Cricetulus griseus: one gene and its partners. The protein of the gene in region 5 purifies or fractionates together with the protein of the main gene of each other region. This does not show direct contact. Links are inferred from orthologs where the notes say so. Each region holds a gene or a part of one and is shown on either strand. Other genes may lie near its edges.

Region 1 (3,500 bases), on a different chromosome or scaffold from region 5:
TCTGTAGACCAGGCTGGCCTTGAACTCACAGAGATCCACCTGCCTCTGCCTCCCAAGTGCTGGGATTAAAGGCGTGCATAACTACCACCTGTCAAGTCTGGCTTTTCTGAGTCCATGAGCTTTGCTTCTAAATTAGTTGGTATTCTTGCCAGCAGAGCTCAGATGCTTGCTATCAAAATGGTATTTTAGTTTGTTCAGCTTCATAGATTTTGCTAACAGAACTTCACAACAAATAAAATATCATGACTTCTCAATTCCTGCTGTAATTGTTGAGGTAAACCATACTGTAAAAAAAATACTATATTTTCTTAATATTTTCCTATATATAATCCATTGGTTTTTCGAGACAGGTTTTCTCTGTGTAGTTTTGGAGCCTATCCTGGCAGTGCTCTGGAGACCAGGCTGGCCTCGAACTCACAGAGATCCGCCTGCCTCTGCCTCCTGAGTGCTGGGATTAAAAGCATGGGCCACCAATGCCAGCCATAGGATGGTTTTCTAATGAAAATAATATACAATAATAGCTTTTATAAGACAAAAGATGATACATTGCATATTTCAGTCAACACAGTTTATTAAAATGTTCTATGACTGGTCAGGCATGGTGGAGCACGTCTTTTATCCCAGCACTGGGGAGGCAGAGGCAGGTGGATCTCTGTGAGGTCAAGCCCAGCCCAGTCTACAGCGTGAGTTTTAGGACACACAGAGCTGGTATGCAGAGAAGCCCTGCCCCGAAAAGCCCTGTCTTGGTTTTTTATAACCCTGTAACTATCACAAGGGAGCAATATTCACATCAACCACAGCTGAACATAAAAAGACAGATCAGCATCTAGATTAAGTTTCCATGGTACACCAGCTTTTATTTTATTTTATTTTTTTGCAGTAGTTGATGATTTTACATTTACCCATTAATTATAATTTATAAAGTGTAGTTTTACCTCCAGTATTGCTGCTTTCAAAACATTAGCTGCTCTCTACACATGTGTGACTGGTCTGCATAAGGACATTACTGCACCCAACCTGTCACATACACCTGTATTTGTTTGGGGTACATGTGAAGGAGTTGGAGTGATGATGTCATCACACCTGTATCTACATGTAGGTGGACCACCTGGAGGCCGAGAGAGGCACAGTGTCTCAGTTCCTGAGAACACGGGATATGTGTGTTTTCTGATGGTCTTAGGCAACCCCTGTGAAAGAGTGGTACCCCACATGTTGAGAACTGCTATTGTAAACGCACACATCTGCACGCCCTGCCTTTCTTATTAACCAATTCTGCACCCCCATCAACAGCATACACTTTCTTTCTTTTTTTCTTTTAAGGACAGGGTCTTGAGCCAGGCGTTGATGGCACACACCTTTAATTCCAGCACTCAGGAGGCTAGAGGCAGGTGGATCTCTGTGAGTTCGAGACCAGCCTGGTCTACAAGAGCTAGTTCCAGGACAGCCTCCAAAGCCACAGAGAAACCCTGTCTCGGAAAAAAAAAAAAAAAAAAAAAAGAAAAAAAAAAAAAGACAGGGTCTTACTGTATAGCTCTGGTCTGCCTCTGCCTCCCTGAGTGCTGGGACTAAAGGTGTAGCCACCACACTTGCACACTTGGCTTAGTCTATAGTTTCTTTCTTTCTTTTTTCTTTCTTTTTTTGTTTTTTGTTTGTTTGTTTGTTTTTGTTTCTCTGTGTAGTCTTGGAGCCTGGCCTGGAACTCACTTTGTAGACCAGGCTGGCCTTGAACTCACAGAGATCCACCTGCCTCTGCCTCCCCAGTGCTGGGATAAAAGATGTGTGCCACCACCACCCAACAGTCTATAGTTTCTTAAAAATAACTTAAGAGAAGAGCTGGAGAGACGGCTCAGCAGTTAAGAGCACTGGCTGCTCTTCCAGAGGACCCAGGTTAGATTTCCAGCACCTACATGGTGTGGCTCACTGAAGATGGAGGTTTCTGCCCTGCTGGTCCCACAGCTCACAAACATCTATAACTCCAGTTCCAGAGAATTCAACACCCTCTCCAGGACTCCAAAGGCACCAGGAATGAACATGGTGCACAGACAATACATGCAGGCCAAACACCCATTAACATAAAATTTAAAAAAATTCAGATGGAAAATCTAATATTAAATAACTGTCAAGGCAGATAATATTCATAAAATACACCTGCTAAACAAAAAGGTACTCACCTGCTTTGTCTTCATCCTCAGAATCGGAATCAAAATAAATGTCATCATAGTACTTTGCTGTAACTCCTCCAACATTCCCAACTGCCGAAGACCCTCCTAAACCACAAGTGACATTTAGAAACTAAACCACATATGGTCCTCGAGGAAACAAAGAGCCTGTATATATACTTCTATTACACAAACAATATTAATTTATTCACAATCTCATTTGTATAGTAAAATATTCTTATGCCAGTGACTTACTTGGTATCTGTGCCCTATGTACCCATAGGGAATCACTCCTGGACAAGTTTTCCAAATTAGGAGAAAATTGTTCTTTCTCCCTTCCCACAAATCTAATTAAAACTTAAATGCAGATTTCCTGGTTCTCAGCATATATACTTCTACTTTTTCATGCATAATACAAATACTCCATGGAGAACAGGGAAGGGATGTCTTGTTTCAAGGGATGTTAAGACAGGGATATGGACCAAGAACAGACTTCCTCTCTCCAGCTTGTCTTCACATGCCTGTGTCCCTGATTCTTCCTCTGCGTCAATTATATCTTTCAGTTCCTCAAGTTATAAACACACCAACGTGAAAACCAGTTCCGAGCAGTCCTACTTCCACAAACCAATTTCTGGGTCAAGTAACTTTTACATAAAAATCTAAAAATGAAATATGCTTATTAGTCACTACAAACGGACAGGAATCTGTAGTGACATACCATTAAACCTTACAATTTTTCGTATGCCTTGTTTTTCTTTAGGTTTTTTTGAGACGGGGCTTCTCTGTGTAGCCCTCGCTGTTCTAGAACTCACTCTGTAGACAGGCTGGCCTCAAACTCTAAGATCCGCCTCTCTCTGCCCCCAAATGCTGGGGGTAAAGGTGTGGGCCACTATGCCCACATGTGTTAAAAACTACAAAAGGAAATAATACATGTATTTGTTATTAAATAATATCTTTCCAATAACACATGACACGTGTTAGTCAGTGGAAAACTCGGGCAGATTGTCAAGTACATTCATTTCTTCATTTAGTAAGGATTGTATTAATCAGGCCTGTTCACACTCAAGAATCGAGGCAAAAGGATCACATAGGCTACAGTGAGTTCAAGGCCAGACTGAATAACTAACCAGACCCTGTCTCAAATTTTAAGGGAGGTGGGGCTAGAAGTCGGTGGTAGAACATTTACCTAACAAACACAAGACCCAGGTTTACCTCCCATCACTACCCGTCATTCACACACACACACACACACACACACACACACACACACATATATACACTCATTCACTCCCTTACAGGGTGTCTTGTGAGAACTGAGCCCACAGTTTACCTGTCCCCATG
Region 2 (3,500 bases), on a different chromosome or scaffold from region 5:
CTCCTAGAGATCCACATTCCTCTGCCTCCTGAGTGTTGGGGTTAAAGGTGTGTACTACCCTCCTTACTCCTTATTTATTTATTTGTTTGTTTATTTGTTTATAAGACAGGGTTCAGTGGTGCCCAGCCTGGCTTCCAAATCAGTATGTAGGGGAGGATGGCCTAAGATTTATGATTCTCTTTCCTCTACATCAGTGGTTCTCAACCTGTGGGTTTTGACCCCACAGGGGACACATAACAGCTGTGTCCTGCACATTATAATTCGTAACAGTAGCAAAATTGCACTTATGAAGTAGCAATGAAATAATTTTATGGTTAGAGTCACCACAACATGAGGACCTGTATTAAAGGAAGGTTGAGGACCACTACTCTACATCCGGAATCCTGGGATTATAAGCATGTATCACACCTGACTTTTGCAGTCCTGGAGATGGAGGAAACCAGAATCTAGACAAGCATTGTACCAACTGAGCCATACCCTCTCTCCTTATTTTCCCTCTGTTATAATGGGAAGAGCTTAAATAACCAATTTTTCTCTCTCTCTTTATTATTTGTGGCACGTTAATAAATCAGTCTTTGGCCACCATCCCAAGTCACCTAAATCAAGTTTGCTTAGGAAGCACTGTTCAGTCAAATAGCCTGATCCGATTGATGCCTTAGAGTGTGGAAGTCTAATAAGATGCATGAAAAGGTACAGGGAGGTGGGTTTGCTGGTAGTTGCCTTTGATTTGTTGTGTATGAAAAGTTTAAATGATGTGATATTTATCTTTTAGGGTGCTGGGGACCCAAGCCTTTGTGCCTATCAAGCAAAGTACTCTTCCAAAGAGCTACTTTCCCAGCCCTCATCTTAAACTTTGAATTTTAATTTAAGCAGATTTATCTGGCTCTACTACTTTGTGCTCCAAAAAAAATTAGAACCTTTTACCTCATATAGCAGGGTCATTAAGTATATCAGGAATTGGGAATTCCGAGAAGAAAACTATTTACTTAGTTATGAAGACAGGATTTCACTATTTAGCTCTAATTGGCCTCTGTCTCCTGAGTACTAGAACTAAAGACATAATGTGTCTGAAGCTATTTTATTTTATTTATTTATTTTTGGTTTTTTGAGATAGGCCTTCTCTGTGGCTTTGGAGGCTGTCCTGGAACTAGCTCTTGTAGACCAGGCTGGTCTTGAATTCCCAGAGATCCGCCTGCCTCAGCCTCTGCCTCTCAAGTGCTGGGGTTAAAGGCTTGAGCCACCAATGCCCACCAATGCCCGGCTTTTATTTTACTTTTTATGTGTGTGTTTCATTTACATTTATGTATACACCCCAGAAGTGTGCAGCTAGCTAGAAAGAGTTCAGTCCCCTAAAACTGGAGTTGCAGCATACAGTTGTGAGCTTCCATGTGGGTACTAGGAATCAAACTTAGGTTCCTGGAAAAGCAGCCAGTGCTTTTAATTGATAAAACACCTCTTGAGCCACTACAATTTTAAATTTGGGGGAGGGGTATGTGAGGGAAGATAAATTTATGTGTGTGTGAGGGAAGGTGCCCTCAGAGGCATTAGATCCCCCCGCCCCCCAGGTCATAGGCAGTTGTCAGCATCTCATTGTGGATTCTGCATAACAAACTTGGGCCCTCTGCAATAGCAGTATGTGCTCTTAACCATTTCTCTAGTCCTCTACAAAGAAGTTCTTAAAATGTTTTTTTACATGAGCTAGAGAGATGGCCCAGCGGTTAAGAGCACTGTCTGCTTTTGTGGCAGACCCAGGTTCAATTCCCAACACCTACATGTCAGCTCACAGCTGTCTTAATTCCAGTGCTGTCTACTGTCCTCCTTGGGCGTGCAGCATGTAGTGACATGAATAGTCAAAACATAAAATTACAGCCGGCTGTTGGTGGCTCATGCCTTTAATCCCAGCACTCAGGAGGCAGAGGCAGGTGGATCTGTTTGAGTTCGAGGCCAGCCTGGTCTCCAGAGTGAGTGCCTGATAGGCTCCAAAGCTACATAGAGAAACCCTGTCTCGAAAAACCAAATAAATAAATAAATAAATAAATAAATAAATAAATAAAATAACAATACCTTAAAGAAATGAAGAGTAAAACCTTTTTCCCTTTTATTCTAGTCTGTTGTTTATTACATGTTTGGTATTGAACTGTATACTTTTACCTCTTCAATCTGTGGCTTCTTTTTTCCTGTCAGATCACCTGAAACCTTTTCTTGATGATTCTACTCTCCGATTTGTGGATAAGCTGTTTGAGGCTGTGGAGGAAGGTCGAAGCTCTAGACATTCCAAGTCTAGCAGTGACAGAAGCAGAAAACGAGAACTAAAGGTAGGTTACGGTCACTATATAATAATAAGCTCAGGAGTGTTTGGAATAAGAAATGTGCTGGCATACCTGCTTACACTTTGACATCTACTATTAGAACACCTAGTGTGAGGGCTACGGTTAAAATTCAGTAATAGAGAGCTTAGTGCTTGTCCAGCATGCATGAGGTTCTGGGCTCAATCCCAGTACTGCAACAAATAGAGTTAAAAACAACAACAAAATAGAACACCCAGTGTTCAAGAGGGAGCCTCAGACATTAAAGTAGAAGGGTAGGATTTATATTATCTCCATCACCCTGAACCTTTCTCAAAAAGGTTCATTTAAAATAGTCCAAGGAAGTAATTGATAGCTTGTCCTTTCTTTATTCATACATTTTATTTTCACCATTCCCTCTTTACCTACTACCTATAAATTGATTGATCTAAGAATCTTGGTCTACTTAAAGTCTAGTAAGTTGATTCATCATATCTCCACTGCTTCCTGACTGTGGACCTTAGTCTTGTTCATTAATAAAGATTTCTATTTAATATACTTGTAGATAAGATGCCTGAAACTAACTGCCATATAGTCCACATTTGTTGTATGTGGTTACTGGCTCCATGAGTGGGATGTGTGAAAGAGTTAGAAATACTCCCTTTTCTGCTAAGTACTTATTTTGTGGTTACAGTATAGTCATGGTCTTTTTATATATGATCTTATCTCAGTTCCCCAATGTAGCCCATTTCTCTGTCTGACTTTCTTTTGCCTCTTTTGGGTTTTTGGTTGGTTTGTTCTGAGATAGGGTCTTACTATATAGCTAGCTCTGCCTGTCTTGGACTGTGATTCTCTGAGTGCTAGGGTTACAAGTGTGTACCACCATGATCAGCTTGTTTTTGTCTTTAATATGTTTTCTTTTGTTTATGGATTTTTTTAAAGATTCATTTAAAATTTTTATTTATGTATGTGTATACACACAGATGACCATAAAGGTCAGAAGAGGGTGTCAAATCCCTTGGGGCTTGAATTACAGGTAGTTTTGAGCAACCATATATATACGTGCTAGGAACCACACTAGTCCTTGGAAGAGCCATACTCACTCTTAACCTCTTAATTATCCCTCCAGCCCTTGTTTTGGGTTTTTGAGACAAGATCTTGCCACCAAGCCCAGGCTGCCCTCAAACTCAGGTTCTGACCCAGCCTCCTGAGTGC
Region 3 (4,092 bases), on a different chromosome or scaffold from region 5:
TCCAGGGCAGCCTGGTCACAAACTGAGGTCTAGGACAGCCAGAGATACACAATAAACAAACACCCTCACTTGGCCACTTTAAAGGGACAACATGAAAGAACGTGGCAAGAAGCACCATTTTCAAGACAGAAAGGCTAAAAAGGAGAAAAGTTTGAATGAATTGTTCACTGCTGAGTTTGGAGAATTTTCTACAACATTTTTACCATATTCTGTATCTCAAATCTACTGATTTGTTTGTATGGTAATGGGAATTAAACCTTGGATCTCTGACATGTCAGGCTAAGTACTCCACTGCTGAGATATGTTCCCAAGACTTTTCCTCATCCTCTCTGTATCACTGACCTGTTAATGGTATCCAGGTATGGGCAGTGACGACTCCTCCGGTCCTCAGAATCCACTCGGCCATTCTTTGCTGAGAAGAAATCCATCACAGACTTTAAAATGGAAAACTTGTGCTGGGATGTAACTCAGTGATAGAGCACTTAATTAGTAAGGGCAGGATTTGCTCTTACACAGCATCATAAATGGAGGACAGCAGACTACTCAAATCACAAGTACATTTTGTTTTGTTTGTTGCTATTTCCCATGGATATTTCCCATGGAAATGGGAAAATCTGATCAACTAAGATTAAGATGAGCTTTTAATTTTCTTGTAGTGACAACATTCCAAAAAAACTGCAAACTGAGATTAGATCTATTACACACATAACCAACAAGAGATTAATTCACATATTACATAATCTAAGCAAGTGAAGACTGCTTAGTAAAGGTATTTGCCACCAAATCTAATTACTAGAGTGCATGGGAGCAAGAGAGAAGAACTGACTCCCACAAATTGCCCTGTAACCTCCACATGTACACCATAGTACATGCACACGTATATATAAATAAATGTACTACACCTTTTTTTTTTCACCATGTGTGGTGGTGCACACACTACTAATCCTAGCCCTTGAGAGGGAAAGACAGGAGAAATCTGTGAGTTCAAGATCTACAGAGAAAGTTCCAGGCCAGCCAACACTACTTATTAAAACCCTGTAAATAGCCAGGCGGTATAGCTTCTATCGTCTTTAATCCCAGCACTCAGGAGGCAAAGGCAGGCAAGATCTTTGTGAGTTCCAGGCCAGCATGGTCTACAGAGAAGTTGCAGGACAGGCTCCAAAGCTACACAGAGAAACCCTTTGTCGAAAAACAAAGCAAATAGACCCTATAAATAAATAAATAAATAAATAAATAAATAAATAGGGGCTGAAGATATGGTTCAGGGGTTAAGAGCACTGACTGTTCTTCCAGAGGTTCTGAGTTCAATTCCCAGCAACCACATTGGTGGCTCACAGCCATCTGTAATGTGATCTGGTGTCCTCTTCTGGCATGTACTGTATACATGATAAATAAATAAATAAATAAATCTTTAAATAAATATCTAATGAGGTGCTGGGTAGTGGTGGCTCATGCCTTTAATGCCAGCACTCAGGAGGCAAAGGCAGGTGATCTCTGTGAGTCCAGAGGCCAGCCTGGTCTACAAGCTAGTTCCAGGACAGCCAAGGCTACACAAAGAAACCCTGTCTCAAAACAAACAAAAACAAAACATAACCCAATATATCACAAGTATTAAGATAAGTTGAACATCTTAAATCTACCATTTGTCTAAGAATTGTGATGGTTCTGAGAGTTAATCCTACTAGCAAGCTGATTTGTTAGCTTGCCACAGCTTCATGATCACTGATGGAAGGCATGTGATATCACTGACTAAAACCAAGAGTCTATTAAAGCAATAACAATAGCCAATGACATGACATCTTCACCAGTTCCTGGATTCAAGTCACACAAGAGAATAGAAAGAGCCAGTGCTCAAACTGGGTTGCCTTATTAAAAAACCCTGCCCTTAAAGAAGGGTATCCTATCTGCTTGTGAGTTTACGTCCCTTTAGCTCTATTATGGAATAATAATACAATCTGTCTCCCAAGGGTAGTCACTATATCAACATCCTTGACAAAACAATACAGAACCCCTACAACAACCTCCTGCAAAACCCAGGAGAAGCAGAATTGTCTCCAAACTACTGAACTAATAGTCAGTACTTTAATCGGGTGCAGAGAGATCCCGGCTGAACGAGCTTATTCCAGATATTACAACAGGACCCTGCATCTTAGGAATTTTGCAAAAACTGTAGAGGGGAATACCTGTAACGCTATCAGCAGAGCACCTAACTCACGTGGGCTATTCGACAAAGGGGAGCCGTGATGTATCGTGACAACGGTTAATATTAGAACTGTCTTCACCTGAAGACAGTCCAGTCTGGATTCAACCTTGGACAGGGAAGCGTAAGAAGCAAGGGAAAGTAAAAAGCAGGCGAAAACTGGCAGGAGGTGAAGGCGAGAGGAAGGTTATCTCTGGCTACAACAGCAAGTTCCTGAGACCCTGTCTCAAAAAAAGAAAGAAAAGGGAGAAAAGAAGAAAGCAGGCGAGGGTGGAGGGCGCACCCGGCCCGGCCCCGCGCACCTCGCACCTCCCGCTCGGGCTCCGAGTCCTCGTCGGCCTCGCGCTCCCGCTTCACCCTCACGGCCGGGGGCGCAGGCGCCGGGACCTCTCGCGCAGTCGGCTCGGCTTCCCGCTTCACGCGGACCGGACTGCCCCGAGAGCTCGCCGCCTCCGGCTCCCGCTCGCGGTCTCGCTCCTTCTTGATGCGACCCGAGCTACCCCGCGACTCGGACTCGCGCTTCCCGCGGGTGGAACCATGAGACTGCCGCTTAGACCGGCTAGACATCGCCGCCACCGGCTAGGAGCTTCCGCGCTGGCGCCGCGCACGCTGGAGGCACGCGGCCAATCAGGAACCGAGCTGGCCTCTGACGCGCAGCTCCCTACGAGTCGCTGAGAGGGACAATACAGACGGCTGGACCCTAATGGGCACTACTTGCCCAGTTGAGACAATTCTTTATCCATCATCTCTTCACAGATTAAAGAGATAGGAACCTTTCACAGGCTACAGTGATTGTAGAAGAAAGGAAGCTGGCATTCGACACAGTTTGTGTCTCGAAACGACAATCCAGAGAAGTCCTCTGATCCAGAGCTGATGACCTACACAGAAAAGAGAGTCAGTATTCCCAAATTTATCTCCTCCATTCAGGTTTGTACCTGGGAACTTCAATTAGTACCATATTTAGAGGGATCCTGAAATTAGAAAATTGCAAATACTCTGCCAAGGCTCACTTACTGTTTAGCTAATAAAACTCCAAATTCAGTTTTACCACTGAGGCATGCCTTAGTCCCTGCCTATTTGAACAGTTCCATTGAGGTATAATTGACATACAGAGTACCACATATTTGACGAGTGTAATTAGCTAAATTCTGAAGTGTGAACACTTGTGAATCCATTGCCATAATCAAGAGAAGAAACTTGTCTCACTCCAGAAATGTCCTTGTGCCCCTGTGGATTCCCACCCAAACCACTGGGTGACTGCATTTCCTAGAATTTTATACTCGAGAGTTATACAGTGTTAACTTTCTAACTTGGCCTCTTTTACACCTGACGTACAGACAATCTATTCCTTTACATTGCATTGCAATATTCCATCACACAGTTGTACTAGTACTAGTCTGTCACTGTTCTAATAATGAGTTCCTGATTTCCACATTTTGAAACAAGGACTTAAAAAAATATAGACTCAGGCTGAGGCAGAAAGATTCCCAAAGTTTAAGGCCAGCCTAAGCTACATAGTTAGGCTGAGACTATCCTGAGCTCCATAGCAGAAGGAAAGAAAGAAAGGAGAGATGGCTCAATATTATTAGACCCTCAAAAGCCTTGGCTCCTCCCATGGGCACAGTTAAGCAAGTGGTCTGGGCCGGGACAGTGAAGCCCCAATGTGGCTGGAATAGGGGCTGGGTATGGGTGGAGAAAACTTACCTACCTGAGCACTTGTCTGCCTCATTACCTATATGAGACAGGTGTTCTTAGTATGTCCACTTGAAAATAAGCAAGCAACTGGGAAGATGGCTCAGATGGCGAGAATGCTTACTGTACAAGCATGAGGACCTGAATTCAAATCCCAACACCCACGTACAAAGCCTACAGTAAGTAAACTGGGTGGCGCA
Region 4 (4,068 bases), about 20 Mb from region 5:
GGTTATGCATTGTGGGGCGGGGGGGGGGCAGTGGTAAGTGGGTGGCCTGGACTTAGCTACTTCCCACATATTCTGGGAACCCTGGCTGCACCCCTTCCTCGGCAAACACATGCTGTCTCTGCTACTGAGTGGGACACCTAGAAATGCTAGTGAACAGGTCCACCTCTGAAGACTCAGTAGTAGAGCAGAGCCGTAAAGGAGCAGGAAAACCATACCAAAACACGCCGAGGTGTGCTACACAGGAAACCCACAGAGGAGCAACTAGTAGCAGAAGGGAGTGTGTGAATCCTTAACTTTAAAGCTCATCTCCTCAAGACCAAAACAAAACAACCAAACCAAACAAGCAATCAACCAAATAAAAAAGCCCAGGAAGAGAGAAAAGGCTGGGAAAGCAAGGCATTGTGGCTTGTGCCTGTAATCCCGGACTGAGGCCACATAGTTAACGGGACAGAGGAAGGAAAGAGAGAGGGGGGGGGAGGGAGGGAGGGAAGAAGGAAGGGAGGAAGGAAGGCAGGCAGGCAAAAGAAAAACGGATCTGCCCAATTTGCACTTGAGCCTGGCTTGGGCGAGCATGCCTGAAATCCCGGCCACTCGCAGCACACGGGAGGCTGAACCAGAGGGTTCGAGACCTGCCAGGGCTACGTAACAAGCACTAGGCCAACCAGACCTATATAGACCCTATCTTAAAAAGAAAATTAGAAACAAAAACAGCACTCAATTTCACGGGGTTCACAGGCACAAATTCATAGTGTTCCGTAGCAGTCCAGAGCTCAGGTTAAAAAGACCCAATCTACCAATCCAGGGAAAGTGGGCGACGGTAGCATTCGCTGGCAACAGTGGTTTATTGGGGTTGCAAGTCTGGGGCTTTGCAGCTGGTTTCTTCAAGAAGAAAACATGCGGTATCTTCCAACCCCGGACGGATCCCCGGCCCCGGGGAGCCTACGAGAAGGACAATCACTGGAGGAGGGGACGCCCACGAAGAGGCTTGAGGCACAGAGCGCCACGAGGCTCTCGGAGTGGAAAGGTCAGGGAAAGAGCTCCCAGCTCCGCAGACGGTGGCTTTTAGCACGATTCCAAAGCTGTTACAGTTCTAACCCGGGAGAGCCAATGCCGACCCCGTAGCCTCTACAGGTGCACATGCGCAGAGCCAGTCCCCGGGAGCCGGGAATGCGCAGTCTCAACCCGTCCCTCCCATGAGCCTCTGGAGGTTCCCAGGCCGGCCCCGGAAGCAGCCGCTCTTAGTTTCCGGCAACAGCGCAGCGGCGGCCGCACGACCCGGAAGTATTCCCATTTTGCGTCGTCTGGGCTCGGGTGGCGGCCCGGCTCCAGACGGACGCACTAGTCATGGGGTCGTCAAAGAAGCACCGCGGGGAGAAGGAGGCGGCGGGGACGACGGCGGCGGCCGGTACCGGGGGCGCCACCGAGCAGCCGCCGCGGCATCGAGAGCACAAGAAACACAAACATCGCAGCAGCGGCGGCGGCAGCAGCGGCGGCGAACGACGGAAGCGGAGCCGCGAGCGTGGGGGCGAGCGCGGGAGCGGGAGGCGCGGGGCCGAAGCCGAGGCCCGCGGCGGCGCGCACGGTCGCGAACGAAGTCAAGCGGAGCCCTCGGAGCGGCGCGTGAAGCGAGAGAAACGCGATGACGGCTACGAGGCCGGTGAGGGCGGGGCGGGGGCGGGGCAGGGGCCTGGGGTGCGCGGGACGGAGGGTGCAGGGTGACCGCCAGGGCCTGTGCCTCTCGGGCTGAAGACTTGCTCCGGCTGTTGGGGACTAAAGACTGACTCCCCATGTTAAGCTTCGGAAGGACCGGGGTCTTGCGTTTCCCCTTCCCGTCTGGCACTTGACAGTAAATGCGGTGGGTGGGCGAAAGGAGGAGGTGCGAGCATGCACAGACAGAGGCAAGAGAAACCTGACAGTAGGTGGAATCGTCATGAAGCAGTAAGATACGCTTGGGTCTGAACACCAAGGACCCTGTGCTGTAAGCTCTGTTGAGAAATTTGGGCTTTGTGATGAAGACGGTAGGGAGTCGAGGATTTGAGTAGGGAAGTGGGTTGATTTACTTCATATGTTAAGATCACACTGGATTGAGCTGGGCATTGGTGGCGCACGCCTTTAATGCCAGCACTCGGGAGGCAGAGGCAGGCAGATCTCTGTGAGTTCGAGGCCAGCCTGGTCTCCAGAGTGACTGCCAGGATAGGCTCCAAAGCTACACAGAGAAACCCTGTCTCGAAAAACAAAAAAAAAAAAAAAAAAAAAAAAGGATCTCTGGGTTGAGAGCTTGTCAAAAATAGGACTACAGACCCTGAGATTAGGAGGGAGGTCAACCCAACCAGGTGAGGACTAACAGTGAGTATGCATGTTTCTCCATGCAGTAGGGTGGAGAGACTGGAAAGATTGAATAGGTGTTTAGGAAGTGCAATGAACAAAATTTAGTGCGTGGGCTAAGGGGATGGGAGGGATGAGGAACAGGGAATGCCTCCTGGAGTTTTGACCTTACCCGCCTGGTGAATGGTTTTCATCTGTTGAAGTTGGTGTTTAGAAGACTAGCAGATTTGAGGCAAGGGAGAATGACCCAGTTTGGGAGAGCTTTGGTCAGTGTGTATGGGAAAACCTACAGTTTAAGTGGGATAGAGTGATTTGAGGCTAGTGTGTATTCAGGAATCCAAAGTGCCCTAGAGTGTGTGGAGTGAGAACTAGGATCAGAAATAGAACTTAGTAAATGCCAATAGCTCAATTGTGGGCAGAGAAACATACTTAAAAAATAAAGAGTAGCCAAATGGCAAGAACACTACAGTTGGGTCATAGGATCTGTACAAAGAGATGATTGTTGAAAAGACAGAGTGGTTAAGAGCATCACACACCACAGGGCATTATGCAGAACCAGAACTTGTAAACAAAGGGTTGTTTTCATTTTATGCATTTGAGTGTTTTACCTCCATATGTGAATATGCACTTGGTGCATTCCTAGTGCCTGTGGAGGTTCAGAGGAGGACATTGGATCCCCTGAAAATGAGTTAGGTGGTTGTGAGATGCCATATAGATTATGGGAACCAAACCTGGGTCCTCTGTAAGAACAGCAAGTGCTCTTATCCACTGAGACATCTCCCCAGCCCCTAAATTGAAACTTTTTTTTTTTTTTTAATAATCTGCTAATTGGAAAAAGGGAGACTTGAGACTTGAGAGTTCATATAGAAAATGGGGTCCAGAGCCTAGGTGGAGGAGGAAGGGTTTAAAGAGCAGTGAGTAGTGTGTGACAGGGGACTTGGGCATCCTGGTGGCATCTTCCTCTGTATAGTGTTTATTGAAGTTCTCTCCTGTTTGTGGGGTGGATAGATCAGGTCCAGAGTGCTTCCTTTCCTATGTCCATAGCATCTGGCATGGAACACACACTAGTAAGTATTCCATACACTGCTGTGGGCAGAAAGTGCCAGAAATGACAAGCAGTGCTGTGCCGTTCTAGGCAGAGTTTTAATTCTGGTCAGTAATTGAGCAGGGCTTCATGGAGGAGATGATACTTGCTCTTTTGATAGAACTTTATGAGAACAAGAGCAGAAGGGACTGTGGAGGCTGAAGGTAGAGTGTGGAGATTTGGAGTGGCACAGTGAGGGATGCAGAAAAAAGATAAGGGCCTGGGTAGCAGCTGCAGGGAACCCTGGGGGAAGAAGGCTGCTGTTTTCTGGTGTCATCTACCCAGGTGCTGGTGGGGGCCCTTGTCTTCGACCTTGCAACTGAAGACCATGATGTTGCTTCTTGGTCCCATGTTCATGGGTTCCTTAAGCCGTGCTCCTTATTGTTCTAGCTGCCAGCTCCAAAACTAGCTCTGGAGATGCCTCGTCACTTAGCATCGAGGAGACCAAGTGAGTAGCCCTTATGCTGTTTTGATTTTCCTCTGAGACTGGTTGCACCTGGGGCTGTTACCTATAGAAACTTTTTCAATCTAAATGAAGCCAGTTAGAATTGGAATGGCCAGATGAGTCATACTGCCAACCATAGGAGCTACGTGGAAGAAACTGAGACCCAAGAGGAAGGATAGTCTTCCCCAGTCAGGAAGCCTGTTCTGGAAGCCTG
Region 5 (4,182 bases):
TAAGTTCATGCTTCACCTAAGAGCTATGGGAGCTACTGCAAGGGAAGGAAAAATCAGACTAGGGAGAAGAGGAGAACCCATGTTTAAGAGGCCTCCTGAGTGTTCTCAATAGGATCTCAAACTTTTCCAAATGTCCCAGCTGCAAAGGGGTTACTAGGCCAGAGAATCTGAGGTCCTAAAAGCTGAAGATCAGCAAAACAAGGACTTGCAGGGGAGATAGGAGAATAGAGTGATTGAAGGGAATTTGACATGGCAAGTCACAGGACACCTGACGGGCCCTACTACTGCCACCAAGGGCGGAAAACAAACCGAGGTGGTCCAAGACACCAGAGAGAAGCATCTAAGGAAGGAGGAGACACTCAAGGGCCAGGTAAGCCAACAGGAGCTACGGAGGAGCCCTGGCTTCTGGCTACCAGCACATCAAGGCCCTGATGCACACTCAAGGCTTTTATTGGGAAAGGGAAAGTGGCTGAAGAGTAGCTTCCAAGATCCTCACTGCCCAGGGCAGCTGGGGCCTCCTCTGCCAAGTCCAAGAAAAAGGGGCTACCACACTGGGCCCTTAGCAGGTTCACGTGTAGAGATCAAAATCAATGCGCTTGGAATTGTAGAACTGACCACCTGGAGGGTCCAGCTTCCGGCAATAAACACCATCCGGGAAGTAGCCTTCAGTCACCCAGGTCTGTAAGAAGAGAGGACAAAACTTAGGAAAGATGACAGAAGTCGGGATGGACAGACAAGACAGGAGGAAGCCACTGACCTGCATCTGGGCACTGGTGAATGGTCCATACAGCTCAGCATCCCCCGTGTTCTCCCACTTATATTCCCACATCACATCCATTAGACCATCTCCCGCTGACTCTGCTTCTAAGACAACAAAGACGTATCGGCCTTAAGTGCCCAGTCTCCCACTGGCATTGCCTCTCCTGTGTCCTAAAAGCTTACCTCCTTTATGCGCAGGGGTCGGGGTTTCCAGTTCTCCCTCTGTCACTTCGTCAGCAAACATGTCCAGGGAGGGTGGAGGTGTGGGGTCATGGGATCCCTGAGTCCGACACCCCAAACCCTTCAGACACATAGCCAATCGTTCCCTTGTTTCCTGGTATACACCAAGGTTGCCTCGAGCCACCATTTGATCAGCCAACCCAGAGAGCCGGTCTAGGCGCTGTGGGGAATTGGGCCGTCCAGTCCCCTTGCTGTCCCCTTTGCCTCCTCCTCGGGCCCCCAAACGCCTAAGTGCCCCAGCCACTGTCTCTCTTGGCAACAGCAGCTCCAAAAGTCCCTCCAGGAGGGCTTGGGCACTCATCGGAGTCTGACCCAGGCTGTCTTCCTCCTCTGAGTCTGAAACCTGGTGCTTATCAGGTGGCCGCTCCTTGATCTTCACCTATAAGGGAAAGATAATTATTATTTCCTACAAACTTCCACCAGGGCCCAGGCCCAGCACCTGCATTCCCAGGCCTCAGCCAGGACAGCTCCTGGGCCACACCCAGTCAATGTTGTCCAGCCAGCTGTCTCGGATCTGTGCATCCTGGTTCAGGAAGTAGTTGCCATCAGCATCAAAGTGGCCTTCCTCCATCTCTTCCTGCAGGTTGAAGGGTGTGATCCTCACACCCCCCTCACTAGGGAGAGTAGCTGCTTCCTGACCTGCACCAAAGACATGGGGGCCCCATGCTAGGCATGCAAAAAAGAGACAGGCACACTTCCCACCTCCATAATCAGACTTGCCCTCCAACACAGCTAATGTTTTGGGAATAACTCACCTTCTACATCCTCTGAGGCCAGGATATCATACTTGCTGGACCCTTCATCATCATCATCCTCCTCATCACTGTCTAAAGAGTGTTTGCCTTTGAAGCGGCTCCCAGGACCCCCTGCTCCAGCCACAGGGTCCACCAGCTGTGAGTAGAAACCAGCAAATGAGAAAGGCAACCTACTGGCGAGCTTCCCAAATATTCCAGGATCTGTATCCAAACTGAAAACCTACCAAACCCAGCGCACCGGGGCAAACTAACCCTTTCTTTCGCTTCTCAGCTTTCCTTCCTTTTATTTCTCCTCAGTCCTCCACAGACATTAGGAGTCTGACCATCTCACCTTCTTTTTGGGGACACTGATTTCATCTTCATCATCCTCATCTCCCACACCTTGAAAAGTCACTTTCCTCTTTGGCATGACTGGCAGAACACTTCCTCCAGCTGGACCTCGGAAAAGGATACGGAGTAAGAAAATTAGGTAAGGAGAGCCGGCCGCGAGAGCGCTGTGGCACCACATTTTCCTTGGTAAGCGCCAGGTCCCGTTTGAGCGAGGAAGGGTCACTGAACCATCTCAAGCGCTAGCAGGCGGGTCGTCGGGAATTGGTTTGGCAATTCATTCAGAGGCCCTGACGGGCGGATCTCCGCCCCCGCGCGGACCCTGTGCGTACTCCCACGCAGGAAAAAAAGCCAGGCTCCCCTACGTCACCACTCCCCTACCAGTGCGGAGCTACAGGGCTCCCCCAGCTCCCACCCGAGTGCCCACAGAGGCCGGTCGGACCCAAGAGCTGGCGCCCTGGTTGCTTAGGACCCCCAGTTCCACGCAGCGAGCTGCTAGACCATGTCAGAGTCGGCGCACAAATTAGAGAGGAAGCAAATTCGCAGGGATTCGAACAGTCTTACCGGCTGGCGCTCACCGAGGAGCCCGGGGTCAGGCGGGGAAAGAAAGGAAAGATGCTTTCGCCAGTATTACATCCGGGGCACTCGCCTCCATAACCCGGAAGGAGACTGTGGAGACCTCCATAAGGCCGGAAGCTGCTTCACTCCCATCCAAAAGACTGTCGGAACGGGCGGATGTGTACATTTGGTCAAGACAGTCTCCGCAGGAAGTGACGTAAGACCCCAAAAGACTCGCGTGAACTCCTATACCAGCCCCAGCCTTACTTAGCTTGAGGATGGCGGCAAGTGTTTGTTATTCCTCTGAAATGGAGACTCAGGTGAGGACGTGACGCTCTGTCTGCTTAAAGAGGTGCTGAAGGCCGGGCGGTGGTGGCGCACGCCTTTAATCCCAGCACTCGGGAGACAGAGGCAGGCAGATCTCTGTGAGTTCGAAACCAGCCTGGTCTACAGAGCTAGTTCCAGGACAGCCTCCAAAGTCACAAAGAGAAACCTTGCCTCAAAAACCAAAAAAAAAAAGAGGTTCCCAAGTCCTGGATGGAGGGACAAAGGCCGAGCAGAAGCTGTGGGCTCCAGTCTGACTCTCTATATAGGGCTCTTTGCGCCCAACGGAATTCAATAGAAACCCTGCTTTCCAAGCTTGACACAGTCCCAGCGCTCGGGAAATAAGCAGGACTGATTGTCGCGAGATTGAGGCCAATCGGGGATACAACGTGAGATGTCTCTTTAAAAAAAAAAAAAAAAATTCTTGCTTTTCCTGAGTCCTGTTTCTGGCTGTCAATACTTAGGCACTTTCCAAATCTAGCTCCTTTTAGGACCCAGCCCCATGTCTGTTCCCATTCAATTCCTTCTTTCTGCAGGGGAACTATAACAGGAAGTAGCATTGGCATCCGAGCAGTACCCAGCCAGAAGCCCATAATGCCCTACTCTGGGGTACATCCAGTTGCAAGGTGAAGTCTACCCCACCCCTCAGCAAAATGCTAAGGTGATGGAATCCCGCTCCTGCAGAGGTGGAGCCAGGTGAGATCTTCCTGTCTAGTGAAGTCTAGATCTGGAGCTCTTGAGAACAACTCAAAGCCAGAACACCTCCCCCCCAGGCTAGATAGCTCAGGTGATCCTGCAAGAGCTGGATGAGGGCGGCCAGATGGACCACACCTTTCTCTTGCAGGATTTTCTCCATTCTGAATCACCATGAAACTTGGAATTGTGTCCTCAGTTTCTTCCACGGGCACAGAACACAGGTCCTAGCCCAGGAGGGCATCTTGCTACAGAATGCCTGAAACACCAGCTCTGGGCACTATGGTGCATCCCAGAGGGAACTTCCTCTTCTACCTGGAGACCACACACCCCTGAGCCTCATCCTGCTGAACTGCCATGAGGAGCTCCACCTTAGGACCACAAACCCCATGCCTTTACTATCCTGATCCCTGGGGAGAAAGCAAGGGGGAGGGCTGGGGGGCTACAAGCTAGCCATAGAAAACAAGAACTGGATGATTGATTGTGTGCACCTGCTGAGATGAACTGAAGGCAGCCAGTCCACCCT
Region 6 (4,068 bases), about 110 Mb from region 5:
CTGAGCCCAAAGCATCTTCTGCTATCAGAGGGTGTGTGTGTGTGTGTGTGTGTGTGTGTGTGTGTGTGTGTTCATGCAGGTACACAGGCACTGTGTGCACATGAGGCCAGAGGTCAATGTCAAGTGTTTTCTCAGTTGCTCCCTTACTTTTTGAGACAGGGTCTCTCACTGGACTGGGAGTAAATCCAGCCAAGCTAGGGTGTCAGCAAGCTCCTGGGATCTGCCTGTGTCTGCCTCTTCAGCACACAAGTGCCTCTACTCATAGCTTTCCTTGTACTCGGATCCTCATGCTTGTGAGAAGGCACTTCACCAACTGAGCCATCTCTCTAGCCCCCTTTGCTACTTCCGAAGACTTTCCCACCAAATCAGTGACGATCTCAAAAAGTTTCCCAGTTCCCACCTCAACATATATGAAAGACACAGAGACACATATACACAGAGCAAGTGGTAGGATCAAGAGGGTATCATCCAGACAAGAATAAACTTCAGTAAGGACTTCTTACTGGAATACAAAAAGGGACTAGAAGGGGAACTAGATGTAAGTCAGAAACCTCAATTAAAATCCAGTTTCTGGTCCTACGCACGGTGACACCCACTTGTAATCTTAGCAGGTGAGAAGCTGAGGAGGCTCCAGAGGATGGCAAATTTGAAGCTAGCCTGAGATACATAGTGAGTTTCATAACTGCTAGACTATTTAGTGACATATTCATTCATTCATGCCCATGGCCCTCACTCATAGATTTTCCCTACCCATTATTTAATTTATTCTCCTGTAATTTCACCCTTCTACTTTCTCTACTTAAGAATCACAATAATCACCTTTAAGATCCCCATTGGCTTACTGCCTCCAAACATCAACCAAACACGCTGGCCTTTTTCATGTCAGCTGCAGCAGCACACCCTCTTCTTTAGTAACAGACATTAAAAAATAAAAATAAAAAAGATACCCAGGCTCTTGGCATTTTCTGCTTCTGTGAGAGTAAGCAGCAGGCTTGGTTAGCTATTACTTCTCTATACACTGCACAGAACCACTGTGAGAATCTAACAACTGTACATGAACCATAGATGTTTTGTCAGTGTAATTATTACACATTTGCTATTATGCCCCTGTATACTGACTAGTTTCCTTACTAATATTTCTAATATTTTATATACATTCTTCTACTCACCTATCCCCTCCCCCTTGAAGCCACAGGTTCCACAAAGTGTAAGTGTAAGGACATAATTTTACCATCCATATTCTACACACTTGGTGACTTTTGTTGTGATCAGTAGTGTTTTGTGCAAAAAGGGGGGAAAAAAAGCTGCCCATAGCTGGCAAAAATCTCTTGAATAAGAAACTGTATTTACCAAACTTGCATATGAGAAATGCTAAGTTAAGGAAGTGGTATTTCAGGAAAGTGTTTAAGAGACTGCAAGATCTCCTGGTTGATAACACACTCGTCTTTAACTGATACCATCTACTTAGAAGCATGAACTTATGTTGGACACACAGACAATTATTCTCATTCCAGTAAGTCGTTAAAGCATAAGAACTGTACCTCTGGAATCTACACTTCTTTTGCCATATTCTAATCGGCATGCACAGCTCTACCAAGGAGTACTGCAAACATGATGTAGATGAACAAACAAGAGCTTCATTTGGAAATTCCATCAGGTGGAGCAGAAAAAGAAAGTTACATGTAAATATACATGAGGAAATCCAGACGGGGAGACTGAGGTACACAGACTCTCAGCAGTTACCTGAATGATGACTTATGTCCTAAAATGTCATTTGCATACAAGCGAGAGGCTGTCTTGTTGACTGCTATAACCCAGCAATGGCAAAATGAAAGTCTAATTTTAAAGCAAATGAATAAATATATCCTATTAAAAGAGAACAAGAACTCAAACATTTCTCTGGACAACAAGAAGTTTATCCACAACACAGGTCAAGGAAGGATTTAATTGTCCGCTCAAAATAGCAAACAAGGAATTCCAGGGCCAGATTATGGAGAAAGATCAGTGACACAGAAGCCACAAAGGACTTCTTGGGCAGCAACTGCATGTGTCCTTGAGTCAATTGTTCTCAACAATACCGATTTTAAAAACAAAAACCAAAAACTCCCTGCCCTTTGCGGTTAATATTCTACCTATAGATTAACCACCAGACTTAATGGAGACACTTCGGTGAGAAAGGAGGAAGGCAGCAGGAGCCCTATCCAGACTCTCTAGGTAACAGGTTAGGGCACCGTCCTAAATAAACCAGGGCGCAGGGCGGATGCCTCGATCTCAGGGGGCCGTTCCCAAACACAAGGATGTGACCATAACGGGGACAAAGTCCGGAGCAGGCTGAATAGACACAAGACCGCTCAAGTGAGTAGAGAAAGTTGGGTAACAAGGACAAGAGGAACTCTGAAACCAGGGCCCAAAACCTAAGCCGCGAACCGACCCCGGCCGCCTGGAGCCACCATGGCGGCCGAAGGACGGATCTGGAAAGAGGAAGAGATACTCACTTCACCAAGCACGACTCTCGGGACCTTCTGCCACTGATCTGGGGACGCCAGCGCGAACACTGCTCGGTCTGAGGGTCTCAAAGAGGTAAATTCCACTGTTTGAAAGCGGCCATCATTGTCCCATAATGCCCTGCGCGGGGTCCTCTATCCGTCCAAAAATACCATCGAGAGTAGCCCAGAAATACAAGGTTCCTGGACGCCAGAGAGAAACAACGTGAACACGCCTTCAAAGCCACGGTGTCTTCCTCTGGGCCCCAGGTTTCCTTGCGACCAATCGTGCTTAGAGTGATAGCTGATACCCCGCCTCTGGCCTGTGGGCGTGAGAGGCAAGACAGACCGAGGTCAGCCATATTTACTAAGGGCGGAAATGACATAACTTCCTGTTGGGGCAGTGCCAAATGGGCGAGAACTATAATAACGCCGTCTGCTTATTGGGCTATTGACTGGGACGCGCGATGGTACGTTCATTTTCTGCGTCCGTGTTTCATTTTCACTTCCGTTTGTTCGGGTTTGCAGGCCAAAGAAGGGTTTCTAAGCAACAGCCCAGGTTAGTTGGGGTTAAGGTCCTTTCCCGGGTTGGGACCGATGAAGGAGACAGTTGTGCCTTGGCTATCGGTGAAGGAATCCGGACTGCTGACAGGTGGTTTGTGTCCTCCCTGGCACCTGTGGACCAGGAGTAACCCAACCGCCCGCATCTTGTAAAACACAGGTGCGGAACGTTTTGGAAAGTAGACATATCCGCCCTGAGTAAATAAGTTATCTACCTGGCTTGGTGGCACGCTCCTGTAATCCCAGCAATTGTGAGGCAGAGACAGGAAGATTGCCACAAACTCAAAGCCAGCCTGAGCTACTAAACGAGACCCTTAGTGGAAATAATAATCACTTGTCCATGTTCAAGTATGTCCTTTGATGATATCTTGGAATATTTATTTAATTGTGATTTCCACACACTTTCGTTGTTGTTGTTTTTCAAGAAAGAGTTTTTCTATGTAGCCCAGGCTGTCCTGGAGCCTACTGTATAGACCAGGCTGGTCTCAAACTCACAGAGATCTGCCTGCCTCTGCCTTCCAAGTATTGGGATCAAAGGTGTGTGCCACAGCGCCTGGCTCCACACACTCATAACTGATCTGTTTGCCATGTGATAAAGTGCACCTAGGAAGACGCCTTAAGCCAGGTCACGAGAATATACAAACGTCCATCAATGAAGGACCACTAAAGTGTGGTCCACATATGAAATGGTATGCTACCGTGATAAAAATCTGGACGTTTTCTGTGTAGGGCTATGGGAATCTCATTAAATGTTAGATTTAAAACAATGCAAAGTGCAGAGAGATGGGTGAGCTATGTACTGAGCCTCTGCTATTCCCAACTGCTCGTCCTCCTAGAATGCTGAGATCAGCAAGTTTGTCTGCCTCAGCACTTCCCATAAATTCTGGTTCCATTTGGAGTCAGGCAGTGATATTGAGGGTGGGGATAGCAGTATCCTTTAGTGGCAGGCCAACCTGTCTTTGTGCAGCTACCTTCCTACTCAGTTGTGCACAGCTCCACAGACTATTGAGTGGGATCAGCGCTT
Region 7 (4,285 bases), on a different chromosome or scaffold from region 5:
CATAGGTATTAGGCCACACTCCTTATCAGTAAAACCAAAGGATGCCCATGTCATACTGATATGACAACTGAGTAAGACAAGCAGCCTAAGTGTCTAGCCAGAGCTGGAAGGGATTGGCATTAGGAAGACTGTCAACAGCTGAAGGGTTCTAAAACTCCCAGCCACCTTTGGTCTGTAGGGTTTTTTTTTTTTTTTTTTTTTTTTTTTTTTTTTTTTTTTTTTTTGCATTAGGGTTTCAGTCTGTGAGTGGAGAGCCCTCTAGTGTTCATTATTCCCAATAGATCTCAGACTGACTGAGCCCTCCCTGTGCTAGAAGTTGCAATGTATAAGGTTACTAGAGCTCTCCTAAAGTCTCCTAAACTACACAGAGCACTGTCTGTGAAGCTGAGATTTTGGATTGGGATATATTCAGAGACCCTGTTTGAGAACAGAAAGAATATATAGAGTGAAAAAAAAAAAAAGAGACTGGAGGCTGGAGAAATAAATGACTCAGCCATAGGACCACTGGGTTCTCTTCCAGAGGATCCAGGTTCAATTCCCTGCACCCACATGGCAGCTTACAACTGTTTGTAACTCCAGTTCCAGGGGATCTGACACCCTCACACAGACATTCATGCAGGCAAAACACCAATGCACATTAAATAAAAATAAAATAAACAAATAAAAAGGCAAACCAGGCCAACAACTCTGTGGGATTAAAGCAAAGTTGATGGGGAAATGTTGTTTAAGGAAGTGCTGGGTACCCCAGTTTCTCTCAGCCATCTTAGCAGGTACAACTTTCATTTTGTTTTGGCGGGTGCTGATGGTGCAGTTTGAACCAAAAAGGAAGAAAGTGGGTATGTGATTAGAAGAAAAATTCAGTGGACCGATGGAGGGAGAACCTGAAGGAAGAAACCAACAATAACAAGTGGCCCAAACAGCCCAAATGATCCTGAAGAAAATAATTTTCGTGGGTCCCATCTGGGATGTTGAGTCAGCAGTAAGAGTTTAGGAGAAAGTCCTTCCTGGGAAGTCTTTGGAATGTCGGTTTATTATTTATTGGGGGGGGGGGCTTGGAGCATTAAGGAATTCACCCTACTGGGGCTGGGGCTCAAGATTGTTAAAATACCTTCCTACGATTGGGGTAGTTCTACCATGAAAACTGTACTACCTTCATAGGCTGCTCCAGTTAACTAACTTTTAGTTCATCCAGCTGTAAAAGGGAGGCAATAATCTCTCTCGCGATTTTTATAAAAACATTTTTTAAAAAACAGTAAATTACTTGTTGCCGCAAAAATTCCCTCGCTGCCAGCTATGACTGCGATTAACTCCAGTGTCTACTAGAAGATTCCAGAGAGCCTGAGCCACAAGAGAACCTTGCAGGCTGGGAAGACAACACTTGGAAAATTCTTTCTCCCACAGAAACCGAACCTTCGCGGACCACACTACCCAGAAGACCTTGTGGCTCGGGGCCCTCTCGCGTGCATTCTGGGATTGGTAGTTTTTGGAGCCCGTTCGTCAGCTCGCGCGGTGCGGGCCCAGGAACTCGCCTTCCCGGCTACCCGCGCGGCCAGGGTGCTCCTCCGCGATCAGGAAACGCGAAAGATGGCGACTGCTCGGCGACGTTGAGGCCGCGTTAGGCGGTTCAGACGCGGGGTGGTGAGTGTTGGGCGGCGGAGGTGATTCCTATGAGTTTGGAAAGTGGGCGAGAGCGGGGAGATAGCCCTGGCTTCCGCTTCTTGGTCCAGACGGGGAAGAACGCCTCAGGGAAGGGGCACGAGCCCGGGAAGCTCTGGCGGTCAGGAGCGAAGGGGCGCGGGCCCCAGGAGCAGTGTTGGCTGTCTGGGGCACAGGCCACCTCCAGGACGATGTTATGAGCCAAGATTTTGGCCCATGGACATCGCGCTTGCTATACCTCAGTCTGACTTTATTCCTGATCCTTTACTTCAACCAGACTGGACCTCTGATGTACTTCCAGAAACCAGTCTGTGCTTTCCCGCTACGGCGTCGCCAGTATTACTGCTTTTGCCGGAAATTAGTTCTAACCCTCACCCTCATCTTCAAATGCTCAGGATACACTTCTTCCGTGGATCCTTCCATATCCTCTCTTACGAATGGAAAGAAACTGCTACTTTGGATTCTCGCAATACTTATCTGATTAGTCTTTACCTTGGCGTGTCTCATGCCTTCTGCTTCCTGTGGGCAGAATTTCATTTTGTAACTACCACAGGGCCTAGGACCGAGTCTTACATATAGTAGCAACAGTTAAATGAAAATAATTCGCCTTTGCCCTACAGCAGAACTGGGAAGCACAGCCAGGGTCTTCTATAATCATTGCCTATATTTGCATTTTTGGTTTTGCAGACAGGGTCTCTTGTAGGTCAAGCTGGCCTTGAACTCAGTATGCAGCTTAGTCTGTCCTGACTTTGAACTTAGTCCTACCTTCACCTTCCTAATGCTAAGATTTCAGTCGTAGACTACTTAGCATTTCTCCTAGTTTATATATTTATATACATATATATGTATATATATATATTGTAGTTAGATATCAATAGACAGAGAATAAAAGCAATGTTTTCAGGCAGGTGGTGATGGTGCACACGTTTAATTCCAGCAGGGAGGTAGAGGCAGGTGGATCTCTCTGAGGCCAGTCTGGTCTATAGAATGAGTTCCAGGACAGCCAGCGCTGCACAGAGAAACCCTGTCTGGAAAAACCACACACACACACACACACACACACACACACACACACACACACACACACACACACACTTTCTTGTAAGTCACCACAGGAATTTTTTTTTTTCTCTCTCGGGACAGGGTTTCTCTGTGTAGCTTTGGAGCCTATCCTGGCACTCGCTCTGAAGACTAGGCTGGCCTCGAACTCACAGAGATCTGCCTGCCTCTGCCTCTGCCTCCCGAGTGCTGGGATTAAAGGCGAGCGCCACCAACACCCGGCACTTAGAGCTCTTTTAATGGGGGGGGGGGAAAAAAGCTCTTTTAATGTTCTCAGTGAGATTAAGTTGAAATTCAGGTGCTTTTGCCCTGGACCCTAACAGTTTATTTTGCTTTTATTGTCAGTTTCAGTTCTCTTCCAGACCCACTCCATCCAAGTTTGTATTCTTCCCCTTTCCTGCCATTCAAACAGCTTTTGTGAAGGCCACTAGTCATCTCCTCCCCTCCCAAATCTTCAATGGTTCTGTGTTGACTATTCTCTCTTTGAAATGTGTTTTGCTTCTGCATTGTTATAGTTTACACCCCTACCCCCATCCCTGCTGCTGTTTTTTTCTAGTCTTTTCTTTTGTCTCTTCTAGGCACCCTTCAGTGTTAGTGTGCTAGAGCTGCACTGTGGATCTCCTCTTCTGCCTGCTTAGGTGATGTTTAAGACACAATGACTTAACAGCTGTCTCTGTACTCATATTTTTGTCTTCCCGTGTCTCTTTAGAGTTCCAGATTTCTCTTTGGTTGCTTTCTTAATATCCCACAAGCTGGCAAAAATGGCACTTTTGTTCTGTTCCTTCCCTAGTCTTCTCTGGTTGCTTCACTGATGGTAACAAAAACCAGTAGTTTCCTCAAACTGTATGTACATTTAGGAACTGTTTTCCGCTATCTCATCCCTTCCCCAAACTTTGACAGTAACATGTTTATTTTATCATCAAATAGAGAATGCAAAAGAAGTTTTGTTTTTGTAAATTGTGTATGTGTGTGTATGAGTGGTGAATACATAGTATATGTGTTGTGGGAGGGACAGAGGAGGACACTGGGTGTCCTGCTCCATCATCTCATTCCCCCGGGACAGGTCTCCCCTTGAACTTGGGATGGCCTCCTGCTTCCACCTTCCTTATAGCCCTGGAGTTACAGGTATATTTAACCATGTCTAGCTTTAACATGGGCACTGGGAATTTAGCATGTACAGAAAACACTCCTACCTGCTGAGCTATCTCCCCAGCCCCAGGAGCTGTCTTTGTGTCTCCTCTGTAGTTTTTCCCTTTATCAGTAAGTCTTGTTAGCTCTACTGCCAAAGTATGCCTGTCTCTTTTTGCATCCCTAGAACAAGCCACTGTCATCTCCTGCTTAGATATAGTTGCCCCTTGTGATTATCTGAGGAGAATTGGTTCTAGGACCCTAGGTGAATAACAAAGTCAGCATATGCTCACGTATCTTCCATAAAATGTCACAATATTTGCATATACACTACATAATCCCCCTGCATACTTTAAAAGATTTTCTAGATTAATTATAAATGACAAATGGCTTTGTAAATTGTTGTTTTGCATTATTTGGGGAATGGTAATTTTAAAAATCT

Evidence for each region.
Region 1: the proteins of Cd2bp2 (region 5) and Eapp purify together in Homo sapiens (affinity purification with mass spectrometry; 3 studies listed by BioGRID and IntAct, counting the BioPlex papers as one, with this or other methods). This does not show direct contact. The link is inferred for Cricetulus griseus from reciprocal best matches to the Homo sapiens genes CD2BP2 and EAPP.
Region 2: the proteins of Cd2bp2 (region 5) and Prpf3 purify together in Homo sapiens (affinity purification with mass spectrometry; 3 studies listed by BioGRID and IntAct, with this or other methods). This does not show direct contact. The link is inferred for Cricetulus griseus from reciprocal best matches to the Homo sapiens genes CD2BP2 and PRPF3.
Region 3: the proteins of Cd2bp2 (region 5) and Usp39 purify together in Homo sapiens (affinity purification with mass spectrometry; 5 studies listed by BioGRID and IntAct, with this or other methods). This does not show direct contact. The link is inferred for Cricetulus griseus from reciprocal best matches to the Homo sapiens genes CD2BP2 and USP39.
Region 4: the proteins of Cd2bp2 (region 5) and Sart1 purify together in Homo sapiens (affinity purification with mass spectrometry; 4 studies listed by BioGRID and IntAct, with this or other methods). This does not show direct contact. The link is inferred for Cricetulus griseus from reciprocal best matches to the Homo sapiens genes CD2BP2 and SART1.
Region 6: the proteins of Cd2bp2 (region 5) and Dhx38 purify together in Homo sapiens (affinity purification with mass spectrometry; 3 studies listed by BioGRID and IntAct, counting the BioPlex papers as one, with this or other methods). This does not show direct contact. The link is inferred for Cricetulus griseus from reciprocal best matches to the Homo sapiens genes CD2BP2 and DHX38.
Region 7: the proteins of Cd2bp2 (region 5) and Ddx23 purify together in Homo sapiens (affinity purification with mass spectrometry; 6 studies listed by BioGRID and IntAct, counting the BioPlex papers as one, with this or other methods). This does not show direct contact. The link is inferred for Cricetulus griseus from reciprocal best matches to the Homo sapiens genes CD2BP2 and DDX23.

Annotation. Positions count from the first base shown.
Region 1 is NC_048598.1:147,611,368-147,614,867, reverse strand, and holds part of Eapp (E2F-associated phosphoprotein), read right to left. Parts: coding exon 3,490-3,500; intron 2,268-3,489; coding exon 2,172-2,267; intron 1-2,171. UniProt on the Homo sapiens protein: May play an important role in the fine-tuning of both major E2F1 activities, the regulation of the cell-cycle and the induction of apoptosis. Promotes S-phase entry, and inhibits p14(ARP) expression.
Region 2 is NW_023276806.1:60,654,367-60,657,866, forward strand, and holds part of Prpf3 (U4/U6 small nuclear ribonucleoprotein Prp3), read left to right. Parts: intron 1-2,183; exon of another isoform or gene 2,184-2,184; coding exon 2,185-2,315; intron 2,316-3,500. UniProt on the Homo sapiens protein: Plays a role in pre-mRNA splicing as component of the U4/U6-U5 tri-snRNP complex that is involved in spliceosome assembly, and as component of the precatalytic spliceosome (spliceosome B complex).
Region 3 is NC_048601.1:64,076,363-64,080,454, forward strand, and holds the start of Usp39 (U4/U6.U5 tri-snRNP-associated protein 2), read right to left. Parts: upstream 2,801-4,092; 5' UTR 2,768-2,800; coding exon 2,503-2,767; intron 413-2,502; coding exon 343-412; intron 1-342.
Region 4 is NC_048596.1:53,945,796-53,949,863, forward strand, and holds the start of Sart1 (U4/U6.U5 tri-snRNP-associated protein 1), read left to right. Parts: upstream 1-1,268; 5' UTR 1,269-1,344; coding exon 1,345-1,657; intron 1,658-3,799; coding exon 3,800-3,857; intron 3,858-4,068. UniProt on the Homo sapiens protein: Plays a role in mRNA splicing as a component of the U4/U6-U5 tri-snRNP, one of the building blocks of the spliceosome. May also bind to DNA.
Region 5 is NC_048596.1:73,578,254-73,582,435, reverse strand, and holds the start of Cd2bp2 (CD2 antigen cytoplasmic tail-binding protein 2), read right to left. Parts: upstream 2,801-4,182; 5' UTR 2,646-2,800; intron 2,193-2,645; exon of another isoform or gene 2,187-2,192; 5' UTR 2,164-2,186; coding exon 2,086-2,163; intron 1,891-2,085; coding exon 1,755-1,890; intron 1,639-1,754; coding exon 1,481-1,638; intron 1,379-1,480; coding exon 943-1,378; intron 865-942; coding exon 758-864; intron 680-757; coding exon 569-679; 3' UTR 1-568. UniProt on the Homo sapiens protein: Involved in pre-mRNA splicing as component of the U5 snRNP complex that is involved in spliceosome assembly.
Region 6 is NC_048596.1:185,933,518-185,937,585, forward strand, and holds the start of Dhx38 (pre-mRNA-splicing factor ATP-dependent RNA helicase PRP16), read right to left. Parts: upstream 2,801-4,068; 5' UTR 2,496-2,800; intron 1-2,495. UniProt on the Homo sapiens protein: Probable ATP-binding RNA helicase. Involved in pre-mRNA splicing as component of the spliceosome.
Region 7 is NC_048595.1:395,146,137-395,150,421, reverse strand, and holds the start of Ddx23 (probable ATP-dependent RNA helicase DDX23), read left to right. Parts: upstream 1-1,485; 5' UTR 1,486-1,638; intron 1,639-4,285. UniProt on the Homo sapiens protein: Involved in pre-mRNA splicing and its phosphorylated form (by SRPK2) is required for spliceosomal B complex formation.